Linked DNA regions of Oreochromis niloticus. The protein of the gene in region 1 binds, or shares a complex with, the protein of each later gene. Links are inferred from orthologs where the notes say so. Each region holds a gene or a part of one and is shown on either strand. Other genes may lie near its edges.

Region 1 (7,931 bases):
CCTTGGATTGGAATCAGTCCGACAGTCTGGCCATGAGAGCGGTGGTGTGCATTTGTAAGCCTGCAGTGCCACCATTTGGTCGTGTTGGGGAGCGCACTTGCCAATCTTTGAAAGCTGGGAATGAAAAGTAACGAATTATGTTTGGTTATGCTTCAAAAGTCCTGTTTAAAAAAAAAAAGAAGAAGAAACAATTCCAATATAATCTGACTGTTGCCACAGTAAGAGTTTTAACTCTGCACTGGACCAGTTTTCAGGAAACAGTGGCTCTGCGGCGGGCTACAACCTCTGCCTCAGCGTACGGTATATGATTTCAAACATGAGCTGGACCCGAACTCCTTCCAGGTGCCAAATTAGAGAGGAAAATATCCAGTCCCATTGTTAGTGTTGATAGATTATCGTAGGTCCGTGCCATCTTAGATAATGAGCAATAACCTGCTCTTCAAGAACAGGGGAGGTTTGCCAAGAAGGAATGGTGATTACAGTCAATTAAGACTGATGACAAAGCACCAATAATAACCCAGTGTGTGTGTGCGAGCATGTGTGAGCTTGTTTTATTCACTCATTCTTCCAAACTACCCTGTTTTGTGTAATCAACATCTGTTGTGACAGGCACCCTCCTCCTTTCTCAGAATGGCCCACTTCAGATAATGAGTGTCATACCAAACTGCAGGGCAAAGGCTGATTTTACTCCTCTTTTTACTCCTCTTTGGCCTCTGCTCTCACTACCCTCTGTTTTCCTCTCTATCATTCAAGACATCCATTGTTGGGAACCTTGAAAACGAGAGACAAATGCTTTCACAGCATTGTCAGTGCTCGATATGTGGGGGTGACAGATGAACAGAATGCAGTCCTGTTTTCTTTAATGAAAGCAATGCTTCACCGTTGACTCAACTTCTTGTTAACATCTTTATTTTACATTCACAATTTTGTTTTTTGGTATTCAGACAAAACATGAGAATTTATGAGACTTTTCCTACAGATTATTCTGTTATTGCTATTTAAATGGATTCTGTCACTCTTATCTGCGCCGATGCACCTGCATCTGCAGACCTATGGCTATGAAGCATATTTGCTCCTTGGGAAAAGAAAGAAATCCAGATCTGCAGCCTTTGCAGCTCAGCAGGTTTGTTTGCTTCAGTGGTTTAGGCGCCATCTTCTGGTAAATTAGGTCAACTCGAAGAACCCAGGATGGGTGTTTGTGAGGACAATAATTAGAAAACAAAAAGATAGTATTACATAACGTCATAAAGGATCATTCCATATTTAAAAAAGTTTCCACCTGACTCCCTCAGAGTCACATAAAATTAAGCCATTTGAATTTTACACTCATACTATGAGCATTTCCTGAGTTACAGCCTCTCAGTCCACCTCATTCACCTTTTTCTACAGAAAGTTTGAGCAAAGCTTGTACAAGATCAAGCAACCAAATCTTTATGAAAGTATGTAAGTTGGTAAATATTCATAGCACGAATTTTACATGGCTTCATTAAATACACTACACATTGTTCTAGAATAAAGGCAGATCCTAAGGTGGGAGGTGCCATGCGATTTTTCATTCGTAGCGGTGGCACGGTAGTTGTATAAACCTTTATTTTTTCACATAAGGCTAAAAAGATTTTAAGCCTGCAGTCGGATCTGTGTTTTAATCAGTTACTAAGAAGTGTAAGTAAAATCATTTTACTCTCAGAATTGCTTACAAAATGAGACAGATTGGTTCAGACAAGTAAAAGTGTGAGACTGCGCTGAATGTCACTTTAGTGGGTTGATTAATAAATCTATCCATGTTCTTCAAACTTATTATTTATCTCAGAACGCTGTTCTGAAAAAATAAAACCCAGTAGTGTCACGAGTACAGTGAACTCTTTTTAAGGTATCATAACCGTAAGAGTACTTAAAACTACAGAAAAGCTTTGCTGTTTTGAAACTACCTTGTATTCTTATATTCATTCATCAAAACCTCCAGTTTAAAGTGTCAAGTGGCAGCAGCTGGAATGAGCAGTGAAGCTGTTATACCTTCATTCTCTTTTTAAGTGTCACCATAGCAGGGTGTGAATATCAAAAAATGCAAGTCCTTTTAATCTGAAAGTTGGGTTCCTCGGTTCATTTTTAACTTCACTCTAAAAATTAGTGAATTCAGCTCTGAGGGTTTGCAGGAAGACATTAAATATTTTGAATATACCCTCTGACGTGTTCCCAGGCTTCCAACTACAGTGAGATAAAGTGCAGGCTTGTGTCTGCATACATACATATACAGCAGAGGAAATAATTAATATTATTAATCATTTACCAATCATTTACCAACCTGGTGACCAACTACAGCAAAGGTCTTACCTCTGTGCTCGCCACCAAGGGTTTCTCCACCAGGCACTAAGTGATGACTTCCTTAAGGATCAAATATTTATTTCACTCGGTCAAATCCATATCAGTTTATAGCTTTTATGTGATGTGTTTTTTGGGGACTTTTGGTTGATATTCTGTCTCTTTCCAAAAAGTGAAACTACCAGACAAAATGAGAAGCTGTAAAAAATGAACGACTGAGTGAACTGGGATCTACGTGCAGAGACGCCAAAGAAAAAGCAAGATTAAGACCTAAAAAGAAGAAAACAATATATAGAGGGCCAAGGAGCAGCATGGATGAAAGTGATGTTCAATGCCAAATCACAAATCTGCAGTGTGAAACATTTAAAGACGACTACCTGAACAAATTTCCTGGCTCATGGGGTTGCATATCAGCTAAAGTACCGGGTGGTATGACCATCATTAACTCAGCACTATACACACTATACACACAGGAGCACACTTACATGTTGGACATTTTTCTCATCTGATAGAAAGTAGGTTTGGTGATAATGAAGCCATTTTTCAGCATCATAATGCATCTTGCTGCAGAGCAAAGAGTGTTAAAGCATTTCTTCAGGAAAGGCAGCTAATATCAACTTAGTGCCATGGGCAGCAAACAGTCTGGATCTGAGTCTGATTGAAAATTTATGGTGGAAATTGAAAAAGGAAATTTCCATAGTGAGTATCCATCCTGGAAAGCTGATCTGCCAGCCGCTATTTGGGAAAGCTGGTTGAGAGAGCAGGTTGATACAGAATATTGCTTTTCATTAGTGAAATCCATCCATGCCTCAAAAAAATCAGGCTGTTATGAAAGCCAGAGGAGATGCAAAAAAGTATTCATTTTGGTGTTTTTGTAGATTACGCCATCATTTTCCCCTCAACATCGAGTGTTTCCATTTCTACTTGATCTGGAAAAAATGTAGCGTTAATTAAAATAATTCCAATTAATTTATTTGAGGCATGTTTGGCTGTTAGACAAAGAAGAATAGCAACAAGAGTGAAGGGAAAGGTTGAAATGATGGTACTGAGACCTGCTATGAGGTTTGGTTTGAAGATGGTGGAGCTGACAAAAAGACGAGTGTTAAGGTTTTTATTGAGTGTGACCAGGATGGAGAAGATAAGAAATGGCTACGTCAGAGGAACAATTCAGGTTGAGCACTTTGGGAACAAAGGTGGAGAGGCGAGGTGATATGGTTAGGACATGTGCAGAGGTGGGATAGAGCATATACTGGACACAGTAGACAAAGGATGCTGAAAATGGAGCTGGTCGGCGGGAGGAAAAGAGGAAGACCTCAGAGAAGATTTATGGATGTCGTGAAGGAGGACATGCAGAGGGCTGGTGTGGCAGAGAAGGATGGTAGGGACAGGGTGAGATGGAGCCAGGTGATTCCCTGTGATGATCCCAAAAAGGAGAGGGTGTCTCATAATTGTGATTTGTTTATGTCCTTCAAAAAGTGGTGATTTCATTTGTCCCATAGTTTTGATATTACTTTTGTTTATTTTATTTAATATGTGTGAACCTACACACCGTGTCCCTCTCTAGCTTTAGTGATTCAAAATCTTATTTTAGTTAGTTTTTTTTTTTTTTTTTTTTTTTTTTTAATTTGTTCATTTCAGAGCATATTATTTTAGTTCGTTTTTGTTTGTTTGGGTTTGTTTTTCAACCCAATTATACTTTTATACTTCACTTCACAAATTATTCTTCACTCACCTGTGATGACCTTGTGTTGGACAAAATGGGCAATCACTACTTTATCTGTAATTTCCATGAAACAAATTCTAATTTGCAAGCACATGTCTGTTTGTTTTTGTTGTTGTTATGCCAAAAGGTGATTTATGAAACAGGATTTATGACTGGGATCATATATAAAAAATAAAGAAATTACCTCTTTTGCAAGTATCTTTATGAGTCTACAAAAAAATCCGAACTGTGATATTATCCTTGTTGCAATTTCCTCTTGGTTGGATCTCTTGTAAAACACATTTTTAATGTGAATGACATTAAAATAAAGAATACATTTTCTTTCCGTTCTTTCTGGTTAAAAATGTCTTAATATCATTCATGAAAGACATGTTTAACAGATCATTTACAACAGTTTAAATACAGACAATCATTTTGGGGAAAATACTGGAAATCACTTTTTAGCACTTTTTATCAGTGTATAGTATCATGAATATCCATCCTCTGCTCCTCTACTGTCGTGTTTTACCTTAGACACCAGAGGGCGCTTGGGAGCTATGTCAACCCCCTTTTATCAAAATACAGAGGTATACAGTCTCACAATCCCATTTTTAAACTAAAGCTTGCTGCCAATACTCAAACTTTTAGACAGGACAGTGCACTCAAGCCCACTACTATCAGTTTCTGAAATTAAAGTACACAAACTCCTCAGTGGAGTTTAAATAAGTCTGTTCTTAACCGAGAAAACAGAAATGAGTAACCTTACTTCTAGCAGGGATGGAGAGCAAAGCTGGAGGTGCAAGGTGTAAAAGACATAAACACGGAGGCGTATTCATGAGGTCTAACCACGCCTCCGTTAGACTGCGCTTCCGTGTTTACACACCCACTAAAACAGGAGACTCCAGCGGCCGTCGGGCGGCTGTTTACCGAGCAAGCACAGAGTGGCAGTGAGGAAAGTGACAGTCACACGGGAGGCTCGGTGTATGGTGAAACACAGGTGATTTCAGCTTCCACGGTCGCATTTTAAAGCGTAATGTTCACTCGAAGGGGGCATGGAGACGTCAAGAAATCTACACAGAAAGTTCTGGACCCAAAGAAGGATGTGTTTACCCGGTTCAAACACCTCCGGACTCTGTTAGGTGAGTGAAATGTCACCGGGGAGCTGGATGCTGCATCGTCGAGGCTTAGCTAAGTGGCGCTAGCTAGCTGGCACCAGCCGACGGCTAACGTCAAACAAGGCGTCAGGTCAGCTGGCTGCTTAGTGCCAGTCCAGCCAGCTGACCTGTAACATGCATCTGTATTATGCCGGTACCCTCTGCTGTTTAAAGTCTTTGTTCATTTAAAATATGAGACAAGGCGCACTGTGATGATGAGGCATGGATGTTAGCTAATACAAGCTAGCTCCCCTGCGGCTACCTAGCCAGCCAATAATGCTAACTGATGCAGGGAAACAGATGCCGAGCACAGGCTTTGCTGCTCTTCGGTCCTGTGCCATCATTAGAGTGTTTAACACGTATCTGAAGCTTCGTCATTCAGCATCGAGTCGCACAGGTTGAAGTCTCTGTTTGGACTTTTGGAGTGAGGACAGGGCTTTCTCACTGCAGGTTACCCTCCCGAGTTTCAGTCAACTTGCCTCTACCTTGTTTGAGAAATTTCACTTAATAATGACACAAACGTGTTACACAAGAGCAGTCATTTATTTTAATCCACTGGACAAGGAAGTGCAGCATTTATGAGGCTCATAAAACTGTTGTCTTCCTGCGCTGCGTTAATAACAAGAGACACGACTGTGTTCGGTAGTCACCTGACCTGTGCTGTTCATAAGCGCTGTTAAACGGTCTGTTTGCACGGCTTGTTCATTCATAAACTGTAATAATGACAAGTGAATGCTGAATCTACACTGATTTAAACACAATCGATGACGTGCAAGTTGTACATTTTATCATGCCGAATCATATCAAAGACAAAAATAAATGCAGTGTTGGAATTTGAAGGCACCATCATCCTTTTTTAAAAATGAAGAGCGCATCCACTGACTGAAAAATATATGTGATAGGCTAATATCTGGTGATAATATCACTGGTTTATTACTGGTTTACTCGTATTTGGGACTGAAACGTTGTATTAGAGGTAAGGAGGTCAAATGTTACAGTCGCCTCCTATCAGAACTCTGTTGACAACATCATGAATGCTGTAGTACTATATCTGGTGCTCTTCTGTTATTCTCAGTGCTTTGTCAGTAATCGAGGTCAGTGTGGAGAGGAACAAAGAGATCTGGAGAAAAACTGCAGTCTGTTCACTCTGAGTGCAATAAATCATGTCTTTCAGAAATATCATTCAAAGTAGGTCATGTATGCATATTTCTTGACGTGGACTACACAGAGGTGAACATCTAGGCAGTTAATTTTCTCTTGTTTTTATTTGATGACTAATGGTAATATCCCCAGAGTAGCTGGAAAACCGATGCAGTAAACACAGTTTCTTCTCTTGTTTTCATTTAGATTTTTTTTTTTTTTTATACATAAAGCTTTGAAAATTATTGGAAACCTTTTTTACATATTGTCCCAAAATACAGACGATGACTCATTTGGGTAAGTTTTAGTTACAGTAAACACTAATTCCTTTTACTTAGAGCACTTTTAGGTAAAGCTTGGTATGTCTGGGGTAGCAGTGGAATTCAGAGGAAAGTCCAAGCACGTTTGCCATGTTTAGAGTTTAAACCAGAAGTGGGCAATCTCAGTCCGGGAGGGCCGGTGTCCCTGCAGGTTTTAGATGTGTCCTCGAACCAACACAGCTGATTTAAATGGCTAAATTAGCTCCTCAACATGTCCTGAAGTTCTCCAGAGGCCTGGTAACGAACTAATCATGTGATTCAGGTGTGTTGACCCAAGGTGAGATCTAAAACCTACAGGGACACCGGCCCTCGTGGACAGAGATTGCCCACCCCTGGTTTAAACCATTGGTTCATTGACACGTGCCTGCTTGTAACCTTTTCATATAGTGACTTGTTCTCCAATTTATTGATTCCCAGTACTGCAGCAGGATTGTAACAGCCACTGTCAGCCTAACAGTTGTAGCTTGAGCAAAGCTGTGGGAAGTTGATATGGTTGAAGTTTTTTTCTATCATAGCAAACTTTCAATGTCAAGACTAGTACAGCCAAGGTGGAGGTCAGCACAGTGCTCTGGCTGTCATCTGTGTTTTTCTTTCCCTCATGTGCAGCTAAAGATAAGGCTAGTCTGTTTGTCCAGCAGCTGATATTTGGGCCGACGTTGCAATGTCCCCCAAATTCCCAGATTACACCGAGCTTGCAGTTCAGGAAGGATTTCCTCCTGGTTCTGCTGGTTCCTGTGTGGCAGGAAGCTTGATGAGAGATGGGGTGAGGTGGAGGACAGGGCAGGACAGGGACTTGGATAGAGCTTACCTTCTTTCACCGATCACGCTGTTTTATCTTTTTGAAATATTTAAATGTATTATTCATAACACTGGCAAGAGAAGACATTTCCAGAGGTGGCAGGATGGAACAGCTTTTGGTGGGAGGAAATTTAATATGTAGCTTCTTGTTAAACTTTACAACCTGTATGTTTAAACTCAACCATCCACAGCTGGGGTTTACCACACTCATTTACTATGTCCCAAGGAGAAAATACCATTAAGGCACAGTTTGTTTTTTTTAATGACTCTTATGTTTTCAGTAATCCTTTAATTTCTGCACAGAAGTTTTCAACCCGCTCGTCTTCTCTCAAGGTTATTGTCTATTAAGTTATCCAAAATCTGACCTCTTTATGTCATTGCAACACCAACACCAGAAATTTGGTAAACAGGCTTGTTAAATGAGTGGTACTATCAGCAGTATTGTACTTGAAAGGACAATCTGTGGTCTGGGCTATTTTCAGAGTGGCCCTCTATTGG
Region 2 (7,450 bases), on another chromosome or scaffold:
CGTGTCGTTACCACTTAAAAAGCTAAAAAAGAGAAACTGTACATTCCTGTATCAGATGTGTTCCTGTGTAACCACATCCTTCCTCCAGGGCCGTACTTGAAGCAGGCCATCAATTATGTCATCAAGCAAAAATCCCAAACGGTTAAACGAGTCCCACTGCTAAACCAACATCCCGCCCACAGCGCGCTGCTGGGAGTGAACGCAGGAAGGAGCGTGTGTGTCAGATGTCATTGGATGGGGTCCCCTTGCTTTTACGTCCAGGCAGAGGGAAGGCCGACTTGCTCTGAGGCTGCGTGAGGCGGCTGGTGAGCTGGGTGAACGGTTCGATGAGCGAGGTGCGTTCAGTGACGCTCACCTCCCACAGCTTCACCTTCTCGCCTCGCGCCCACTGCTGTGCTGCCTCGTGGTCTACCTGACGACGCTCCCGCAGGTCTGTTTTGTTCCCCAGCACTATGACCATCACCTGCACCCAAAACAAAGCCAAGTCACTTTTTAGTGATCTACATCATACACAGGAGAGAAAACCGATTCATACAATATGTTTAGTGTGGGATGTTAGAGTGCAACTTCTCTGTGAAGTTTTTGTTTTTCCCAAATAGCCGCCCGCCCGAGAATATTCTAAAGTTGAACTCATCTACACATTCAAGGGTTTTTTTACCCAACATTATAGAATTATACTGAAGCTATCTAACTATGAAATATGTTTTTATCTCTATATATCAATATTGTGTCTACTCACAGTAAGGAGGCTTTATGTTACTTTCTTACTGCGCTTCAAACAGTCGATGTAAAAGCTCACACCTGTGAGACTTGTGGTGTTCACCCTCAGCTGCGACTGTGGACGCTCACTGGAGCTTTTCCCCACACATTACTGCATGTCAAATTGTGTTTGGGCGAGATACCCAAATTCCACCCGATGCATCCATCGGTGTATGAGTCTGTGCTTAAAATGCATGGAGTAAAGAGGTGTTTTAATGCTGCGTCGACCTCACACAGCGCAGGTGTTTCGAAATATCCTCGTCACATGACCATGGCTAACTAAGGTTTTGGTGCATTCCATCCCAGTTTGAACACCTGGCTGACCGACTGCTTTTAGGTTTGGTTGACAGTGTGTAGAACAAACCTGATGACATTGCAAAGGCACAGAAAGCTTAACAGTCAGCAGTAGCAGCGGAAACAACACCCACAGTGGAACTGCTCATGCCACTGTGGAGCTCAAGAGACGCCTCACTGATGCCTTTGTTCCAACGACACGTGATCCACTAATTTAGTGATGAGAGATCAGGCTGTCAGGTCACTGTTAGCGGTGAATATGATGACCAGTGAGGATGACTACAACAAAGCTGAAACTTAAGTCAGTTTAAAACTCAAATGCTATTGGTAATGCTATCAGAATAAGGTTTGCAGCTTCCTCTGTGTCTAAAGAAAATTTTTTCAGAGCAGTTAAGAAACAGTGAACTATGTAGAATAAAATGCCAAAATGTTAAATGTTGTGTCAGAAAGGCTATCAGGCCCTGAACTCTGTCAAATTGGTGGAGCTACCCTCTCCACCTGTGATATTGTAGCAACATAAAGTAGTGTTTCGTATCGACTCTTCTCCACTTTTATCTTCCTGTTTAGGTCTGCTCTCGTCTGTGGTTTGTTATTTGTGTACTCTGAGGTTCTCTTAGTGCTGCTGGTCATGTTTTTGGAACAGTGACCTTATTATATGCATATCTTTAAAATGATACATACAAGTATTCACTTTTAAGAGCAAACAAACATGTTTTATACGGATAAATTTATAGATTTGTCTATATAAAACCATTCAGATGATTTCTAGCAAGTTTTAAAGACACGTCCAAACATATGTTATCTATTTCTATTCTCCATAAGGTCCAGTTTACACTGTTTAGTACTAGACTCACTGCAAAGCTGTACAGCTAAGAGGCGGAAACTAGAGCTGTTAACAAATATTCTAAATGTAATTATATGATTTAATTAGGCAAAAACTAGACATCTGATCACAGAAAAAAAAAAGCACATGTCATCTTCACAAGTGCCAGCAATCTGTGCAACGTTTGCCTGACCAGACTTCAACCCAGCCTCACCTCTTTTTTATCTCTGGACTTATCTATTTCTTTCTTCAGAATGTCCACCCTCTTGAAAGACTCCAAGCTGTCAACACTGTAAACAAGCACAAAGCCGTCTGCCACTGAGTAATAGTGCTTAGGGAGGTCTTGTCCATCATTCAGTCCCTTGGTGTCATAGAGCCTGAGCTGTTCCTTGACACCTCGGTCGGTTTCCACAGAGGCCACATACACGTCCTCCTGTGTCTCATTAGACTCTGACCCTGAAAGGTACAGACGAAAAATAAAAGAGTTACTGAAACAGCAAATGAGGATCTTGGCAATGAAACATTGGAATGCTCTCAAACAGCGGATGTATCAACACCATGTAATATAAATATGCCAAACAATTGATGTCATACTGGAAGAATGTAAGTGTGTTTTGCCAAATAAAGAGTGTTCAAAGCTTCGTCACTGAAACAAGTAACATCCCATCGCTGTACGCCCAGTCCTCACCTACCTACCTACAGTGTGGTTTCCGTACAGCAGCTGTTCCAGAATAGCAGTTTTTCCAACAGCCGCCTGGCCGCACACCACAACTTTACAGCCTTTTCCCATGTCGAGTCTGTAATACATCAAGACGGATGGTCAGTTTGTACAGAAACGCGTTAGAACCACAGTAACATCAAAACGACCGACAGTCCCTCAAAACATCAACAGACATGTTCATCCTTAGCTTGTACCTAGCTGGCTAAAGCTAGCTATTGTTTAGCCAGCTAGCTGAAATACGAACACATATTTTTAAATTCTTTGTATGTCTGAGAAAAGTCGCTAACTTTAGTGTGGAAGATACGAGGCTTCCGTCAAGTCTGCAAGCGTAGAACCACAACCGGAGGATCCATTCTGCTGTGAGATTAAAGAGCGACAGGTTCTGTCAAAGCGCATGCGCAGTTCACCATACGTCAGAGCCCTCGAAGATCACCAACTTTGCTCGCTTATGCATTATTTATTTATTTATTTATATTTATTTTATATGTAGAAAATATGAAAGCTGATTAAAGACAAGTTAAAATTACATTTTAAAAAAGTTTAACGCCTGTTATTAATATTGACTTTGTAATTGACTCCTTCTAATTAATTTGCAGTTCGACGCAGTAAATTGTGTCTTTATGTTTACAAATATTTTTGCTTTATATTTGTAGGAATGAAATCACTCGAAACTGGACAATGAGCGCGTGTTTGATTCTGAAAATTACCACATAAGTGACAAACGTGAAAAGTCGAAGAGAAAAGAAGACCACATTTCCCAGGAGCACTGTGAAAAGCGGAAGTACGCCACTGCCGTTTTCCTTAAGGCATGCTGGGTACTTGCCCTCTCTCTTTCCGGCTAGTACGCCATCATGTAAGCGAGTTTTTCTGTGCTTGTGACCAAATAGTAATCCGTTAAAATCATCATGTATATACGTTCATCTGTATCTGTGACTCGGGCTGTAGCTTAGTGCTTTGTTATCAGTCTGTACTCTGTGACTATTTCGTGGAAAAAGGTTAAAGGCTTTGATTAGAATCCTATGTTTTAGTGGCGTTCAGATGCTCTCTGTCTGGTAGCTAGGGACCGCTAACGTGTCGTTTCCACTGTGTGATATTTATGTAAATGTAGAGTTCTAGCGTTTGGATCACTGTTCCACGTACGCGTGCATTTCTGTGTAGTTATTTCTGTGGGTATTTGTGCGACAAAGAGCCGGTAAACTGTCCTCGGCTATGCTAGTCTTGTATACAGTTTATGCTAAGCATGGAGTGGCTACATCTTCTGTGTAGCTATTTCATGCTCTACATGTGTCTAAATGTTTTTGGGGAAATCTGAAGTATGGGAGTGTTGGCATAGCCTTCATATTCTGAAGGTATCCAGTCCCAGGTCACGTTCAGCCATGTGCTGTTTGAAGTGTAGTAATACATGAATTTATATTTAAAATGGGCCGGATTAATCTTGTAACCTGCCAACGGTTCAGTGATTTAAAAGAATTGTTAGACCGTACGTGCTGTGCTCTTCAGTGTAGCTGCTGTAAACAGTGTTTCTCTGCTGAACTGTTTGTTGCAATGTAAAGGGAGGTACCACCTAATGAGCTTTTAATTAACAAGCTGACAAAAATGACTTGACCAAAGTTTCTTTCTTTTTTTTTTCTCAGATAAGTCAACATGGGGGCATATAAGTATATGCAGGAGCTATGGCGTAAGAAGCAGTCTGACGTGATGCGCTTCTTGCTCCGCGTCCGCTGCTGGCAGTACCGTCAGCTGTCCAACCTCCACCGTGCTCCCAGACCCACCAGGCCTGACAAGGCTCGCAGGCTGGGCTACAAGGCCAAGCAAGGTGAGTGCTGTGCCTGTGGTTGTTCACCTCCATGTCTGTCACCTGTCATCATCTGTACCCGTTCAGGTAATTGCATATTTTTGTTCAATCGAAACAGGCTACGTGATCTACCGTGTTCGTGTGCGCCGTGGAGGTCGTAAACGCCCCGTGCCCAAAGGTGCTACCTATGGCAAACCAGTGCATCATGGTGTCAACCAGATCAAGTTTGCCCGCAGCTTGCAGTCCATCGCTGAGGTAGGTTCATACCTGCTGATCCAACCTTGGTTTCATGAAGCTACAGTAAGCGTCAGATAGTTCAGTACTGAATGTGACGTTGAGCATCATTAAGCCTGTTACCCATTTTTATTACATTAATGTGAATATCATGTTAGTAATATGAAAGGATGCATTACTTTACTGCCCACAGTAGCTTAGTCTGATAGGTTTAAATGGTGGATTTACAATATTAAAGGTCTAGTTGCCACTCAAACCCCAGCAAATAGTTTTCATCAGTGGTCATATCTTGTGTTGAAGCCTACAGAATGACGTGATCTGTGAACTGGAAAGTGTTTGGATTCCTGTTTGTTATAAAATATCCTTGGCAAATATACTGAACCCCTCAGGAGTCCTGTATAAATGTGACGTGCAATGTTAGATGCTGCATTACTTTAGTATGTGCTCTCTGTCTTGATGTAAATGTGTGTACAATTTTCCTTATCGCAAAATTGGCCATTTTCAGAGTGGACAGGTTCTCTGCAGAGAGTGTTAATGCAACACTAACTGCATTGAGCGTCTTCATGCAGCTGGTGGGATGAGTGGACACAGTGGCTTACATGGGCTTACCCACAATCTTTAATCACCATTTAAAAAAATGTGCATCTGTTTTTGGAAGAAGCAAGAATACTGCGTACCCTCTTGTGCAGCAGCTTTCATAACTTTATCACATTTACCTGTGATGCTACAGCTAGCCGTCTGACTGAATGAAACTAACATCGCAGGATGTTGGTGGCAAAACATCCAGTGAACATGTCTGGATGTGAAATGGGAAGTTGCAGTGGTTGGGAAGTTATTTTTCCCAAATGAAACTGTGGTTTTGGTGAGATTTGATGCATGCACTGGTGCAGATGTCTCTTGCTCAGTGGTGAAGGATGCTTGCTTTTGTTTTCCTGACATGTGAGCACACAAAGGTTAGCGGTGTTCCGAGTGGCTCGGGCAGGTCTGACATCGTCTGTGGGTTTTGAATTTAAAGCTTGTTTCCAACAGGGGCTAGCAGATATTTAATGCTTCACATTGTGATTGCCCTTCTAAGACTAAACATGACTTTTATTTTGTAGGAGCGTGCTGGCCGTCACTGTGGAGCCCTGCGAGTGCTCAACTCTTACTGGGTGGGCGAGGACTCCACCTACAAGTTTTTCGAGGTGATCCTGGTCGATACCTTCCACAAGGCCATCAGACGCAACCCAGACACCCAGTGGCTCACAAGAGCTGTGCACAAGCACAGAGAGATGCGTGGCCTGACATCGGCGGGTAAGAAGAGCCGCGGCCTGGGTAAGGGCCACAAGTTCCACCTGACCATTGGAGGCTCCCGCCGTGCAGCCTGGAAGAGGCGCAACACCCTGCAACTGCACCGCTATCGTTAGAGCGTGCCACGCATGCCTGTACATTTACAAAAATAAACAGCTCTTTTTATGGGGAAGATCTGTGTCGTCTGTTTCATTGTGTTCGTAGAACGTGAGCGCCTTCTTGGACTGATGCTCTTTTAAAGGGTTGTACCTGTACAAGTGAAGACATTTACACTTCACTGGATTAGGAACAAGGTTATTAAAAAAAACAAACAAACAAGCTGATTTTAATATTGTGGGAACTTTCTGTACCTGTGGCACTTTAGAGAAAAAGCCATTCAGATGAGCTGCAGCTGAACTTTTTTGAAAATGTAAATTCAAAACTAAAGAGATTATAATTTAAAAGGAACTCTTCAATAATTTGCAGTTAGCAAAGATTTGTTATTAGTCTCAACCCTCACTGAACAGCAGTGAGTGCACAACAAGAATTCACCTGGGGTCAACTGACTTATTAATGGGATCAGCACTCGGCCAGTTTCATGTCGTCAGCGTGCTAGCTCATGTTAGCAATGTTAGTGTGCTACATCTGATGTCACCTGTGTGGGTGTCTCAGCCACAGGTGCTTCATTATCAACCTTCTGTAAGTACACAACTATAAATGACATGCCCTGGTGCTCCTAGCCATCTGATAACTGAAGGAGCAGACTGAGACGCACAGTTTCTATCAGGCTTTTGGAAGCACTATAGTTTCCTTGTATTTAGTGCTGTAATGTAAGTGATTCTTAGTTGGTACTAAGAAGCCCAAACAGCCATCACACCACCAGCAGCCTGCTGACAGGAGGCAAGCTGCTTCTGTGCTTTAGTGTTGTTTACACCAAATTTTGAACCTGCCATCCAATGAAACATTTAGCATATCTGTTGCTTCAGTTTCTCATTAATATATGAGAGGAGTGGTACCTGGAACAGCATTCAGTCATGCTTTGCTCCACAGAACAGCAGATTTTGGAAATCGGTGTCTTCCCCCATTTGATTTTGTATGCTACATATTTCCCCACCCAAGGTTCATTAAGGTGTGTAGTAGGTGGTTGTATCGTCACGTTACCTGGGGTTGAAGACATTGGGTTAATTTTGCTCAACTGCCCAATACTGGCATGTTGAATATAAATACAATAAATAAAAAATATGTTTAGGTTAACCAGTATAAGTATTAGAATAACAGTGATGCTAATAGAACAGGCCTCACTGAGAGCCTGCACAGTCTGACCTGTGTGTGTGGTGCAGAAGGGTGGCAGTGACACACTGGATGCTTGACTTAGAAAATAAATAAATGGTGACTGACACAAACAGAGTTTTAAGAAGTAAAAGTATTCCCATGTATGTGATGGGATTAATGCTCATGTGAAAATGTGCTGAGGACAAATCTAAGTGTAAAAGTGGTTCAGGGTTCTTCCTTTTGTCTCTGTGAGATGAGCAGTTCAGCAGATTGGATCTTAGAG

Evidence for each region.
Region 2: the proteins of ralgapa2 (region 1) and nkiras1 are in contact, whole or in part, in a crystal structure (PDB 9QU1), measured with the Homo sapiens proteins. The link is inferred for Oreochromis niloticus from reciprocal best matches to the Homo sapiens genes RALGAPA2 and NKIRAS1. Residues at the interface, in NP_065076.2 of Homo sapiens: Pro20, Lys21, Tyr51, Ser52, Gln53, Phe56, Tyr59, Glu60, Ile63, Arg99, Phe102, Arg103, Trp104, His105, Tyr106, Gln107, Ser108, Lys185, Ile186, Tyr187, Pro188, Glu189; in NP_001364280.1 of Homo sapiens: Lys6, Glu22, Leu24, Leu25, Tyr26, Glu34, Met39, Glu40, Asp41, Val42, Tyr43, Met44, Ala45, Ser46, Val47, Glu48, Lys54, Gln56, His58, Tyr60, His74, Tyr75, Ser77, Phe78, Lys108, Thr162.

What each region holds. Positions count from the first base shown.
Region 1 is NC_031983.2:27,729,276-27,737,206, reverse strand, and holds the start of ralgapa2 (ral GTPase-activating protein subunit alpha-2), read left to right. Parts: upstream 1-4,861; 5' UTR 4,862-5,054; coding exon 5,055-5,160; intron 5,161-7,931.
Region 2 is NC_031985.2:38,827,197-38,834,646, forward strand, and holds the start of nkiras1 (NF-kappa-B inhibitor-interacting Ras-like protein 1), read right to left. Parts: upstream 3,042-7,450; 5' UTR 2,885-3,041; intron 2,674-2,884; 5' UTR 2,667-2,673; coding exon 2,573-2,666; intron 2,333-2,572; coding exon 2,091-2,332; intron 464-2,090; coding exon 221-463; 3' UTR 1-220. Other genes in the region: rpl15 (large ribosomal subunit protein eL15), read left to right, coding at 4,242-4,413, 4,511-4,647, 5,727-6,032. UniProt on the Homo sapiens protein: Atypical Ras-like protein that acts as a potent regulator of NF-kappa-B activity by preventing the degradation of NF-kappa-B inhibitor beta (NFKBIB) by most signals, explaining why NFKBIB is more resistant to degradation.